2 linked regions of the Stegostoma tigrinum genome follow. The protein of the gene in region 1 purifies or fractionates together with the protein of each later gene. This does not show direct contact. Links are inferred from orthologs where the notes say so. Each region holds a gene or a part of one and is shown on either strand. Other genes may lie near its edges.

What was found. The genes of interacting proteins can lie anywhere in the genome.
Region 2: the proteins of adra1d (region 1) and sntb2 purify together in Homo sapiens (tandem affinity purification; 4 studies listed by BioGRID and IntAct, with this or other methods). This does not show direct contact. The link is inferred for Stegostoma tigrinum from reciprocal best matches to the Homo sapiens genes ADRA1D and SNTB2.

What each region holds. Positions count from the first base shown.
Region 1 is NC_081354.1:171,210,460-171,217,599, forward strand, and holds the start of adra1d (alpha-1D adrenergic receptor), read right to left. Parts: upstream 3,017-7,140; 5' UTR 2,583-3,016; coding exon 1,649-2,582; intron 1-1,648. UniProt on the Homo sapiens protein: This alpha-adrenergic receptor mediates its effect through the influx of extracellular calcium.
Region 2 is NC_081369.1:67,641,022-67,648,028, reverse strand, and holds the start of sntb2 (beta-2-syntrophin), read right to left. Parts: upstream 3,013-7,007; 5' UTR 2,990-3,012; coding exon 2,449-2,989; intron 1-2,448. UniProt on the Homo sapiens protein: Adapter protein that binds to and probably organizes the subcellular localization of a variety of membrane proteins. May link various receptors to the actin cytoskeleton and the dystrophin glycoprotein complex.

The DNA of each region.
Region 1 (7,140 bases):
AGCAGACCGCTTGATAGGCACTACACCTACTAGCATCCACTTCCTCCACCGCCGAAGCTCAGCAGCAGCAGATGAGTACAAGATACACTGCAGAAAAGATTCACCAAAGAACCTCAGACAGCATCTTCCAAACCCATGGCCACTTCCATCTGGAAGGACAAGGGCAGTAGATACATAGAAACACTACCAACTTGCAAGCTCCCTTCCTAACCTCTCACCATCCTGACTTGGAAATGAATTGCTGTTCCTTGACTTTTGCTGGGTGAAACTCCTGGAATTCCCTCCCTTAAGGCATTACCAGTTAATGCACAGCACATGGACTGCAGAGGTTCAAGGAGGGAGCTCACCACCAACCTCACAAGGGCAACTAGGAATGGGCAGTAAATTCTGGCCAGCCAGTAAAAACCCACATCTCACCAGTGATTAAAACAAAACAATAGAATGCCTAGGTGTGAAGTCCCACTCATAAATTTCTACCAGAAGAGTGGCTCCCATCGGGCTCTAAATTCTGGTTCTGTGCTTCATTCCTATAGATCAGGAATTATGCATTCCCAGTGCATTCTGCCCGCCTGAATTTAATCTGAGCAGCGAGTCTTTGGGAGGAACACAGCATGTCAGGCAGCATCAGAGGAACTGGAGAGTCAACGTTTAGGGCCTAAACCCTCCATCACCCCACCACATCCAGCTCCACACTGCATTGACTCAGACTCCAGCATCTGCAGTTCGTGCTATTCCCGGGATTTTGGCGGGAACGTCAGTTTCTGATTTAAAAAAAAAGACAGTGGAGCATTTTAGTTCTGAGCTGCCCGCAAATGAAACTTGTACCGTGCCACCTTCGAGAGGCGATCACCAGTTAGAATCCAACAGGTCATGAATAAAACTTCGCCCCCACCTCCCCCCATCCCACCTATGGGAAAGTAAAACTCAAAGGATTGATTGGACTGACTGAGCCGTGACCCACCCCGACACTCTTCGATGAAAAGATGGCGAGGCGCCTGAAGCGCTGACTAACCTGCCAGGACGTGATGGGAAATTAGGATGCCTTCCAAATGAAGTCTGTGCCACCGACAGGAGGGTTGGAAGTTTGAAAAGTCGGCATGCGTCATCTGGGTATGAGTGATCTGGATCTCAAAATCAAAACCCGAACACCGTCTCCCTCAGAGTTAGCCGATTTACAGTGAGGTGGGACAAGGAGTGATATGTAATAGTACTGTATTCCTTCGGTTTGCGATGGCACAGCGGCAGTAAACCCAGGTTCGAGTCCCATGTGGTACACAGTGAATCTCTGAACTGCCTAATAGTGGGATAGAGTCAATAGAGGTGAGAACTCACAAGGTTTCAGAATCAGAGAGAGTTGCAACACAGAACCAATGACATTGAGCTACTGAGACCCATGACATGTGATAATATCTGGACTTTGCTGATAATTCTGAAGCGGAGATGGACACACACACACACAAACACAGAGACACATTTACAAGGTTTGTCGACCCTTAACTCTTTAACTCTGATTTCTCTCCGCGGATGCTGCCTGAGCTTTATCCAGCAACATTCTGGTTTATTTTTAGTTGGTTTACACGCAGCTTGACCCTGTTAGAAAGTTCCCCACCCCGTTTTGATCCCGCGCTCTCCCTCACGCTCTACCTACCGAGCGGTAAGATGGTGAAGAAGGGAAGCCAGCAGAGGACGAAGACACCGACCACGATGCCGACGGTCTTGGCCGCTTTCTTCTCGCGGGAGAACTTGAGGAGGCGCATGGACAGTGAACTGCGGAGGGGCGGCGGCGCCTGGCCCCTGGCCCTGAGGGTGGAAGCCGGCTCGTCCCCCGGCCCGGCCGCACTCCGGCAGTGGATCCTCAGCACCAGCTCGGTGCTGTTGCCCCCTCGCTCCCTCTTGACCCCGGCCTCCAGGCTGCGGGTGGTCCTCCGGGCCACCACGTAGATGCGGCAGTACATGGCCAGGATGACGGTGAGGGGCAGGTAGAAAGAGAACAGCGACGAGAAGAGGGCGTAGCCCGGTTCCTCGGTGATGCTGCACAGGGTGTCGTCGGCGGGAGCGGGCTCCTTCCAGCCCAGGAGGGGTCCCACCGAGATGACCAGGGAGGAGAGCCAGAGGAGCAGGAGGATCCAGACCGCTTTCCGCTCGGTCATGATGGCAGGGTAGCGCAGGGAGTAGCGTACGCCGATGTAGCGGTCGATGGAGATGGTGCACAGGCTCATGATGGACGCGGTGCAGCAGAGCACGTCCACGGCCGCCCACACATCGCAGAAGGGCCTCCCGAAAGCCCAGTAGCCGAACACCTCGAGGCTGGCCGAGAACGGCAGGATGGTGGCGCTCAGCAGCAGGTCCGCCACCGCCAGGTTAACGATGAAGTAGTTGGTGACCGTCTGCAGGTGCCGGTTGCACGCCACCGAGAGGATCACCAGAATGTTACCGGCGATGGCGAAGGCGATCAGGGCGCCCAGCACCACCCCCACGGCCACGCCGTCCAGTCCCGCCGCCCCTTCCTCACTCGACCTGTTGCCGGCTCCCCCCGAGCCGTTACCGTCCACACTCCGGTTCGTCCACTCCTCCCAAGTCATCTTAGAGCAGCCAGGCTCTCCATTGGAATGGGATTGTGTGTGTGTGTGTGTGTGTGTGTCGGGGAAGGGGGGGTGGGGGGAAGATTTGGGCAACTTCTTCCCCTGCCCCGCACACCCAAGCTTTGCTCAGGGGATGGGCTCACTCATTCCTCACTGGACTTTAACCCCCTCAAGCCCTCCTGCATCTTCTTCCTTCTCCCATTTACTTCGCGCTGTAACTTTTACTTTCCCCTCTCCCTTTCTGTCTCTCAGCGGCTCACTTTATCCACACAAGCCCAGGTTAAGAAATGTTGCTCCGTCTTTCCACACCCCTTCGGACAGACAGAGAGAGAGAGAAACAAACCGAGAGAGCGGTCAGAAATATCGCCCACGCTGACCACTAACGAAAATCTCTTCAAAGCAGTTGGATGCTGAAGCTTGAAGATCACTTTTCAATCACATTAAACCTCGCCTCCTCGGGATGGTCCCAACGTCACGGGCTCTCTCTCTCTCTCTCTGTGTGTGTATGTGTGTGTGTAGGGGACACTGACAGAGGGCGGCAAAGAGTCGGCTGCTCTACCCCCCCACCCCCCGACCCCTCCAGAGCCAGCCAGCATCCCCAGTTTACTGAAGGAACATTAAAAACTTTTTGATTTCTCCCCATGGATGCTGCCATACCTGTAGTTTTCGCTTTTTAGGCTGAAAACTCCTCTTCTGCACTGATGAAAACTCACGAAAGTCTTGCCCTGTGTAAAAGTAAGGAACCGAAATCTCCATAAATTTTCATATGAGCGCTGTGTCGAATCTCCACGTGAGGATTGGTGCCGGGGCTCGATTGCTGTCTTTTTGTTGAGTTAATTTTTCTAGCGCTTTTTAAAAATTACATTAAAAAATCATTTCTGTTTTTCAATAACAAGCCAGTTTCTCTTCTCTTTTGCCGCTGAACGAATAAAAATTGAAATTGGTATTCCAGATGTCAAGTTGAATCCCTGGAAGGTAAATATTACTGGGCGGAATTACCAGTTCTGTTGTAATAATCCTTTAATATTAACTTTAATTATACGATTACTTTCTGCCAATTTGATTCCATTAAACGCATTGCTTAAACCGGGCTATACGCTTGTGACACGCAGCGACAAAATTTGTTTTGTTTTTAATTCAGTTCAAAAGTGAATGATTCAGTGTCGGAACTCGTTGCTTTCATTAGTCTCGATATAACTAAGACGGCGATTTGCTTAGGAGAGGTGAGGCGGAACTCATCGAAATGTCTCAACTGTTAGCGCACGTTTTGGGGTTTCTGTAGCAACATACATTAATGTAAAATAAATATTCCGACCAAGACATGGTCGAGTAAAACATGGCATTGAACAGACTTGTTTATTTATGTTTTACGCAGGAAGGTTGAAAACAGTCGCCTGACCAGTGTAGAAAATTATCAGAATGGAAAATGTCTGATAATGTTCTGCCCTCTCCTCTAGCTGAGGACCTCTGGCTCTCCTTGCTTCATTCGTTTCTTTAGCTTCTGTGTCGCGCTCTTCTCTCGAGCCCACATCTCTTTCAACCCTTTCTCCATCAATGTCCCCGTCTGTTTTTTTCGTCTTGTTTCTGTACCTCACTCCACTTCACCCCACCACCCCACCTCCTGGTGTCCCCGGCTCCTCTCACGGACTTTTCTCTGATCTTTCCATCCCCAGTTCCCGACTCCTGTTCTATCTTGCCCCCGCCTTGCTGTCGCCTTCCAATCGTCTCTAACTTTGTTCTCTCGGCTGCTTTGCCTGTTATTGTCCTCTTCAACAGCTAACTCTAACTTTCTGACTGAGCGAGCGGACTCGATTTCTTTCATCTCCCCTCCTCCTGCCTCCCGCTCCCTCCTGCCTCCCCCATCCCTCCCTCCTTTCTGCCATCCCTTCCTCCTCTCCTGCTGGATCTATGCCTCCCACCGGAAAGGTCCGGGGAGACTCGAGCCCAGTCATTCCAATTTACAGGGGACCATTATAAGTGTAGTGGGATTTCTGTTCGATAAATAAAGGAGTGGGGGAATTAAAACACACTGTATTGGTAGCTCAAGGTTGCATTATGAATGATTAGCATCGAAGATATCGGTGGTCGCCCAGCGTGACACGGAATTTTATTCTGTCCCGCGTTTGTCTATGAAGCGAATACAAGCGCAGATTCAGATTAGTACACAATTATTGTTCTGAACAAATCGGGGAATTAATCGTTGACTCATAATTCAGGTCAATCTCCTTAGATTCCCAGCATTTGCTGAAGACTGGAATCCATGTTTCCCTGCTCCTTTTATATCTAAGGAGTCCCGTGGCTGAGATTTTACCGAGAACCATTTGAAGGAACAGAAAATCTAAAGCTATTTGCACAGAAGGAGCCAGATTTGTCTCAAAATCTCGCCCCATTCGGTCTGGGAGACCCTGGGGAGACAGTCCCGAAATCAGCCCGATATTAGTGCACCCACACTCAGTGAAGAAGTCACTGATCGACCCGAAAGGTCATCAATGCTGGCCGCTGCTCAGCTCGTCAGTCCGAAAACAAAATCCTCTGCTTGGTCTCCTTAATAATAAAAAAAACCACTCTTTCCCTTGACCCTCGCAGTGTTGTAAATCTCCTCAATATCACAACCCGCGAATCGACCCTTAAAATGTGCGCTGGGAGGACATTAATTCGCGAACACAGTAACATTTCTGAAATCTCATTCCCCCGCCCGGTCTGGATCACAGAAATACCAGAAGTCGCTGATCTGTCCCCGCCTGGAGTGTAAATCCAACAGAAACCAGAAGCGGGCTGTGCCACTCAACTATACACCGCCCCACAGCTAACAGTCTACTGAGCAGAACCGATACAAACAGAATAGATTAGAAAAGAATAGCCTTTATTGTTACTTAGTAGTAAGGGAATGGAACGCTTTGCCTGCAACGGTAGTAGATTCGCCAACTTTAGGTACATTTAAGTCGTCATTGGACAAGCATATGGACGTACATGGAATAGTGTAGGTTAGATGGGCTTGAGATTGGTATGACAGGTCGGCACAACATCGAGGGCCGAAGGGCCTGTACTGTGCTGTAATGTTCTATGTTCTATACAGGAGTACAGTGAAAAGTAAAGTCTCTGCTAAAAGCAGTAACTGTGGACGGAGACAGGCAGCGAGTCATTACAGGAGCTGCAACAGTGCCCGAGGGTGCGGCGGACGTCAGATTTAATCTAGAAGCGAGTGAAGTTGTTATCACCGGAAACCCCAATTGGCAGGTTACACGTGGTGAGATGCCATTTGACAGTTGAAGGCGCGATGGGCCGACTGGGCTCACTCTGGATTCCGACTGTAAAGCGCAAGTTGGGCCGAGACAGAAATGTTAATTCCCTCTGAAGTGGGTGTGTGTTGTAACGATAATAGAGCAATTTCTGGGACAACAGGGAGGGGGATCTGCATCCCTTGGGAATTTTGTTTTACCCTTTCAGTGGCTTTATTCAGTTAAAGGATCGCAAGTCCACCGCAGAATGAATTCAGAGAGCGTGGACCATTCAGCCCAACTCGCCTGTGCTAGGGCTGCTACTCCACAGGTGCCAACTTTAATTTCCTCTGCTTCATCAACCTTTCTCTATATCTAGCTATTCCGTCTTATTCCATCTTCTTGTTTAGTTTACCTCTTAAAGTTTCTAAACAATGTCCCTCAACCACTGATGAGGTCGACATGCCAATCATTCTCTGAGAAAGAGATGCCGTTTTCACCTCCCATTCTTTTGCTAATAGTCCGACATATTTGCATAAAATGGAAACCAGAATCCTGAGTTTGGACTCTGCACAAATTTAACATTGCATCACCAATTTTGAATTGAACACCAGAAGTAACCTCAGTTTTTTTTAGCATTTTTAAACATTGTTTTTCATTTGTAACATTGCTTTCAATTAATCCAGCCCATGGGGACTCTTATTTTCTCATACTGAAGAGATGTTTCTCTTTTGCTTACCCAAATTGCATCACTTCAAAATCATCTATACTAAAGTTCATTCACCATGTAACTTCTTGGTCTGGGAATCGTCTAATACCCTCTTGCATTCTTTTGCTTTCCTGCTCATTGTTCTCACGGTCTGGCATCGTCTGCAATTATTGATCTTGAGGAAGTTGCCCCGAAGTCCAAAGTGTGAAAGTATTTTTTTTAAAAAGTTAATGGGTTGGTCTCAAAGGCAAGGCCAGCATTTGTTGCCCATCTCTAATTGCACTGAACAAGATGGTGATGTCCCCCGCCTTGTGCTGCTGCAGCCGTTGGGGTATAGGGAGCCTGCTGTGGTGTTAGGAAGGGAGTTCCAGGATTTTGATGCAGCACCAGTGAAGGAACAGCAATGTGGTTCCAGAGATAATGGATGCTGGAGAATCCAAGATAACAAAGTGTGGAGCTGGATGAACACAGCAGGCCAAGCAGCATCTCAGGAGCACAAAAGCTGACGTTTTGGGCCTAGACCCTTCATCTGATGAATGGTCTCGGCCCAAAATGTCAGCTTTTGTGCTCCTGAGATGCTGCTTGGCTGCTGTGTTCATCCAGCTCCACACTTTGTGAGCAATGTGGCTCC
Region 2 (7,007 bases), on another chromosome or scaffold:
AGAGTCAACCACATTGCTGTAGTTCTGGAGTCACATACAGGTCAGACCAGCGGCTTCAATGACCTTCCCTCCATCATAAGGTCAAAAGTGGGGATATGTGCAGCACCATTCGTGACTTCTTAGATACCGAAGCAGTCCATGTTCATATGCAACAAGACCCCGGCAATATACAGGTTTGGGCTATCAAGGGGCAAGTGACATTCGTGCCACCCAAATGCCAGGCTATGTCCATCACCAATAAGACAATCTAACCACCATCCTTTAATATTCATTGGTGGTACCATCACTGAATCCCCCACTATCAACATCCTGGGGATTATCATTGATCAGAAACTCAACTAGACTCACCACAATAACGGTGGCTACAAGAGCAGGTCAGAATCTAGGAACATTGTGACAAGCAACTCACCTCCTGACTCCTCAAAGCCTGTCCACCATCTACAAGGCACAAGTCAGGAGTGTGATGGACTACTCCCCACTTGCCTGGATGAATGCAGTCCCAACAACACTCAAGAAGCTTGACACCACCCAGAACAAAGCAGCCCACTTGACTGGCACTACATCCAAAAGCATTCACTCCCTCCACCACCATCACTCAGTAGCAGCAGCGTATAGTATCTACAAAATGCACTGCAGAAATTCACCAAAGATTCTCAGACAGCACCTTCCAAACCTACAACCACTTCCATTTTGAAGGACAAGGGCAGCACACATATGGGAACATCACCACCTCCAAGTTACCCACCATCCTGACTTGGAAATATATTGCTGTTCCTTCACTGTTGCTGGGTCAAAATCCTGGAATTCCCTCCCTAGTCGGATTGTGGGTCAACCCACAGCAGGAGGACTGCAACAGCTCAAGAAGACAGCTCACCCCCATCTTCTTAAGGGCAACTAGGGATGGACAAGAAATGCTGGCCAGCCAGCGATGCTCACATCCAACAGATGAATAGGAATAAATATGGTAAAGATTGCAGTTTCCTTCCCTAAAAGGTCAGTGAACCATTTGGGTTTTTCAAACAATCAACAATGGATTCATAGTAATCATTAGATTCTTAATTCCAGATATTTTACTGAATTCAAATTCCACCGTCTGCCTTGGCATGAATCAAACCAAGGTCCTCAGAATGATTAGATTAGATTACCTACAGTGTGGAAACAGGCCCTTTGGCGCAACAGGTCCACATTGCCCCTTGAAGCATCCCACCCAGACCCATCCCCGTATAACCCACACGCCCCTGAACACTACTGGTAATTTCTCATGGCCAATCGAACTAGCCTGCACGTCTTTGGACTGTGGAAATCGGAGCACCCAGACGAAACCCACGCAGACACAGGGAGAATATGCAAACTCCACACAGACAGTCGCCCGAGGCTGGAATCGAACCCGGGTCCCTGGTGCTGGGAGGCTGCAGTGCTAACCACTGAGCCACCGTGCCACCCTAAATGCTATTAGGTCTCTGAACAAACAGTCCAGTGATAATACCACCAGATCATCACCTCCCTGATAACTGCATTAGCATTCTTGTCACTGCATTATCTCCAAACTATTAATGCAGAAACAGAGGTAATGGCCTAGGGAACATTTATGTTTGAATGCTGCCTGCCAAATTGTGACTTTCGAAAACAACAGAAATCTAGAATTAAGAATCTAACAATGAATCTAAAACTAAAGGTTACTGTTTAAAACTGTCACACATTTAAAACAGATGCAGTGAATTTTTTTGCTGGTGGAACATCTCAAGTCTTTGGAACTCCCATATTGAAAAAGTGAAGAAAGTCAAGTCGTTGAACACAATTAAAACTGGTAACAGATAGATTCTTTTCAGCCAGGGGATGATAGGTTAACAGGCCTGGGGAGAATATCGATTTAAGGTTACCGTCAGATCAGCTATGATCTTATGAATGGAAGAGCAGAGTCAAGGAGTTGAATAGCCTAATCCTGCTCCTAGTTTGTATGTAAAGGATTAGGATGGTAGATTTAGATTTTAAAAAGACAGAAGCAGCTCAAATGGAGTATCTTTAGCACCTCCTGGTTGGTTGTATTTGTGTTTTATGTAATACATTTCTACCTGTTGGATCCTTAGGATATTCTAATCACTTACTGTTAACCACTTGCCCTTCAGGTGGATACACAATGTTCACAAACTCTACGTGTACTAGGCCTACACTGATGAAGTTAAACTCGAGGAGAACTCGGCTCCCATCGGAATCTGTACAATGTGAACCAGTCCAGAAACCAGCAGAGAAACAACATGGCAAGTATTCATTAGACGCACATCTCTCTCTATACATCTCTTTCAATGAAGATTTCAACATCGAAATTATCCGTTTACAATTTGTGGAAGAGGAATCCCCGGACCATTCTCTCCCCGGGGGAGGGGGGGTACGCTCCCTCCTCACCCGAACCTCGAAGATCGGGTCGCTCTCCCCTTAGCCCCCGCTCACCCTCCAGGGTCACCTCCCTTCCAGCCTTCTTCAGGGCCTGTACGGCCTGGTCATGTGTCGCCTCCCGGAGGTCAGCTCCGTTCACCGCAAGGATGGCATCTCCCACGTAAAGGGCGCCGGTACGTTCGGCCGCTAAGCCCCGGAAAATCTTGGAGATGAGGATGGGCATTCGGTTCTCGCGGCCGCCCTTGATGCTGATGCCGAGGCCACCGGCTTCCTGTTTCACAACCCTCACGGTACGGACCCGATCGGCCAGCCCTGGACCCGGTTTCGGGCTGCTGGCCTCCCGGGGCAGCACAACCGCGGCACCTCGACCCGGACTCCCAGATCCAGGCCCCGCCGGGCTCATATGTACTGGAGTCGGGCTGGAGCTCCGCGGCCGCGGGGATCCGTTGGAGAGACCATCCCAGACCCCAGGCTCCAAGTCCTCGCTGGTCAGCTTCAGGCTATCTGCTCGCAGCTCAGCCCCGACCCGAAGCCACCCGCGGTCCCGGAGAAAAAGCTCGAGCGGCCCGGCCCGAACCGAGAGCCCGGCCGCCATCGCCCGCCAACCCAACAGCCTATGGGAACACGGCACTGGACAACCAATGGGACTAGTGCAATGGCCAGCCAATAATAGCACATCTTCAGGGGGCGACCGTCGGGAAATTGGCAACGGCCGGCCAATGGGAATAGTGCAATAGCCAGCCAATGGGCTCGAGATCCTGGAGGCTACCAATAGAAATCGCGCAACGGCCAGCCAATGGGAGCAAGGTCCTCCGTGGAGGCCAATGGGAATAATGCAATGGCCAGCGAACGGGAAACAAACTAAAGAACTGCAGATAACACAATGTGGCGCTGGACGGACACAGCGGGTCAGGCAGCATCTCAGGAGCAGGAAGGCTGACGTTTCGGGTCTAGACCCTTCATCAGAAAAGGGGGAGGGGGTTCTGAAATGAATAGGGAGAGAGGGGGAGAAAGTTGTTACAGAGATAGTAGGGCCTGACGATGCTGGAGTTCCTGAGATAACACGGTGTGAAAGTGGATGGACACAGCAGGCCAAGCAGCATCAGAGGAGCAGGAAAGCTTGACGTATCAAGTCGGGACCCTTCTTCGGGGGAGGGGGGAGGAGAATCTGAAATAAATAGGGAGACGGGGGAGGCGGATAGAAGATGGATAAAGGAGAAGATTGGGTGAGAGGAGACAGACAAGTTAAAGAAGCGGGGATGAAGCCAGTAAAGGTGTGTCGCTGGCGGGGCGATAGGTCTGTGCAGGGAGGACGGACAGATCAGGGGGGCGGGGGTGAGGCTAAGGTTAGTGGGATGGAGGTGGGGCTTGAGGTGAGAGGAATGGTTGGAAAGGCAGAGACTATAGACAATAGGTGCAGGCGTAGGCCATTCGGCCCTTTGAGCCAGCACCACCATTCATTGTAATCATGGCTGATCATCCACAATCAGTATCCTGTTCCTGCCTTATCCCCATAACCCTTGATTCCACGATCTTTAAGAGTTCTATCCATCTCTTTCTTGAAAGTATCCAGAGAGTTGGCCTCCACAGCCTTCTGGGGCAGAGCATTCCATATACCCACCACTCTCTGGGTGAAGAAGTTTTTCCTCAACTCTGTTTTAAATGGCCTACCTCTTATTTTTAAACTGTGTCCTCTGGTTCTGGACTCACCCATCAGCAGAAACATGCTTCCTGCCCCCAGAGAGTGTCCAATCCCTTAATAATCTTATACGTCTCAATCAGATCCCCTCTCATCCTTCTAAACTCAAGTGTATACAAGCCCAGTCGCTCCAATCTTTTGGACTAGCTGGACTGGTTTTGGCATATGGTTGGGGAAGGGGAGATTTTGAAACTGGTGAAGTCCACATTGATACCATTGGGCTGCAAGGTTCCCAAGCGGAATATGAGTTGCTGTTGCTGCAACCTTTGGGTGGCATCGTTGTGGCACTGCAGGAGGCCCATGATGGACATGTCATCTAAGGAATGGGAGGGGGACTGGAAATGGTATGTGAATGGGACTGCAGGTGCTCCATAAAGTTGTCTCCAAGCCCCACCACCCCTGGCAATTTTCCCTGCAACCCCAGGAAATAGAACATAGAACATTACAGCACAGTACAGGCCCTTCGGTCCTGATGTTGTACTGACCTGTCATACCAATCTGAAGCCCATCTAACCTACACTATTCCATGTACATCCATATCCTTGTCCAATGACGACTTAAATGTACTTAAAGTTGGCGAATCTACTACCGTTGCAGGCAAAGCATTCCATTCCCTTACTACTCTCTGAGTAAAGAAACTACCTCTGACATCTGTCCTATACCTTTCACCCCTCAATTTAAAGCTATGCCCCCTCATGCTCACCATCACCATCCTAGGAAAAAGGCTCTCCCTATCCACCCCTCTGATTATTTTATATGTCTACAATTAAGTCACCTCTCAACCTTCTTCTAACAAAAACAACCTCAAGACCCTCAGCCTTTCCTCATAAGACCTTCCCTCCATACCAGGCAACATCCTAGTAAATCTCCTTTGCACCCTTTCAAAGCTTCCACATCCTTCTTATAATGCAGTGACCAGAACTGTACGCAATACTCCAAGTGCGGCCGCACCAGAGTTTTGTACAGCTGAACCTCTTGTTTCCGGAACTCAATCCTCTATTAATAAACGCTAAAACACTGTATGCCTGGGTGGCGACTTTCAAGGATCTGTGTACATGGACACAGAGATCTCTCTGCTCATCTACACTACTAAGAATCTTACCATTAGCCCAGTACTTTGCATTCCGGTTACTCCTACCAAAGTGTATCACCTCACACTTGTCTGCATTAAACTCCATTTGCCACCTCTCAGCCCAGCTCTGCAGCTTATCTATGTCTCTCTGTAACCTACAACATTCTTCTTCACTATCCACAACTCCACTGACCTTGGTGTCGTCTGCAAATTTACTAACCCATCCTTCTACGCCCTCATCCAGGTCATTTATAAAAATGACGAGAAGCAGTGGACCCAACACCAACCCTTGCGGTACACCATTAGTAACTGGTCTCCAGGGTGAACATTTCCCATCAACCACCATCCTCTGTCTTCTTTCAGCAAGCCAATTTCTGATCCAAACTGCTATATCTCCCATAATTCCATTCCTCCGTATTTTGTACAAAAGCCTATTGCGGGGAACGTTATTGAATGCTTTGCTGAAATCCATATGCACCACATCAACCAGTTTACTCTCATCTACCTGTTTGGTCACCTTCTCAAAGAACGCAATAAGGTTTGTGAGGCATGACCTTCCCTTCACAAAACCATGCTGACTATCCCTAATCAAATTATTCTATTCTAGATGATTATAAATCCTATCCCTTATAACCTTTTCCAACACTTTACCAACAACTGAAGTAAGGCTCACTGGTCTATAATTACCAGGGTTGTCTCTACTCCCCTTCCCGAACAGGGGAACCACATTTGCTATCCTCCAGTCGCCTGGGACTATTCCTGTAGACAATGACGAGTTAAAGATCAATGCCAAAGGCTTGGCAGTCTCCTGCCTGGCTTCCCAGAGGATCCTAGGATATATCCCATCCGGCCCAGGGGACTTATCTGTCTTCACCCTCTGTAGGATTTCTAATACCTCTTCCTTGTGAGCCTCAATCCCACCTAGTCTAGTAGCCTGTATCTCAGTATTCTCGACAACATTGTCGTTTTCTACAGGATGTACTACACCTGCCCCTACACCCCTATCCCAGGTCCCAAGAATACGTTCCACATCAAACATGTTCACCTGCACATCTGCTAATGTGATATACTGTATCCACTTTTCCGATTGTGGCCTCCTCTACAATCGGGGAAACCAAGCAGAGGCTTGGGGACTGCGTTGTGGTGTTTTATCTCAGAGTCTAGCAGCAGCAGTTCCTACTATCTTTGGGTCTGACACAAGAGTCATAGAACTACACAGCCCAGAAACCGACACAACTCGTCCGCGCAGACCAGAGATCCAAAATTCATCTAATCCCATTTGGGAGTATTTGGCCCATATCCCTTCAAACACATTCTGATAATGTACCCATCCAAATGCCCCCATTGGAACAGGATACAATGCTCAACTCATCAACCCAAGATTGGTACCCATGCGGACAGCCTCAACTGGGATCTTGGGTTCATGTTGCACTACAGGTGACCGTAACACACTATACACTCTCACTCCCCCTCAAACACACAGACACATGCTCGATCTCTCTCTAACACCCCGCCCCCCCAACACACACACACACAGATACTCTCTTGCTTGCAATCTTTGTTTAATGCCCCCCCCAACAAACAGATTCTCTCTTGCTTTCACTCTCTCTCTCTCTCTCTCATGTTCCCCACACACAGACACTAACATTGTTCAACTCATTGAACGCCAGTGCCACAGCGAAAAACCGTAATGGCCTCCTTCGAAGACAGACACAGATACATCTGATAGGGTACCCTTCATTGTCCAGCATTTCCTGGGAGTACAGAAACTACACCATCTTCTTCGCAGCCTTCAATACATTATCAGTGACAATGTGCACCTCACCAAGATCTTCCCCATGC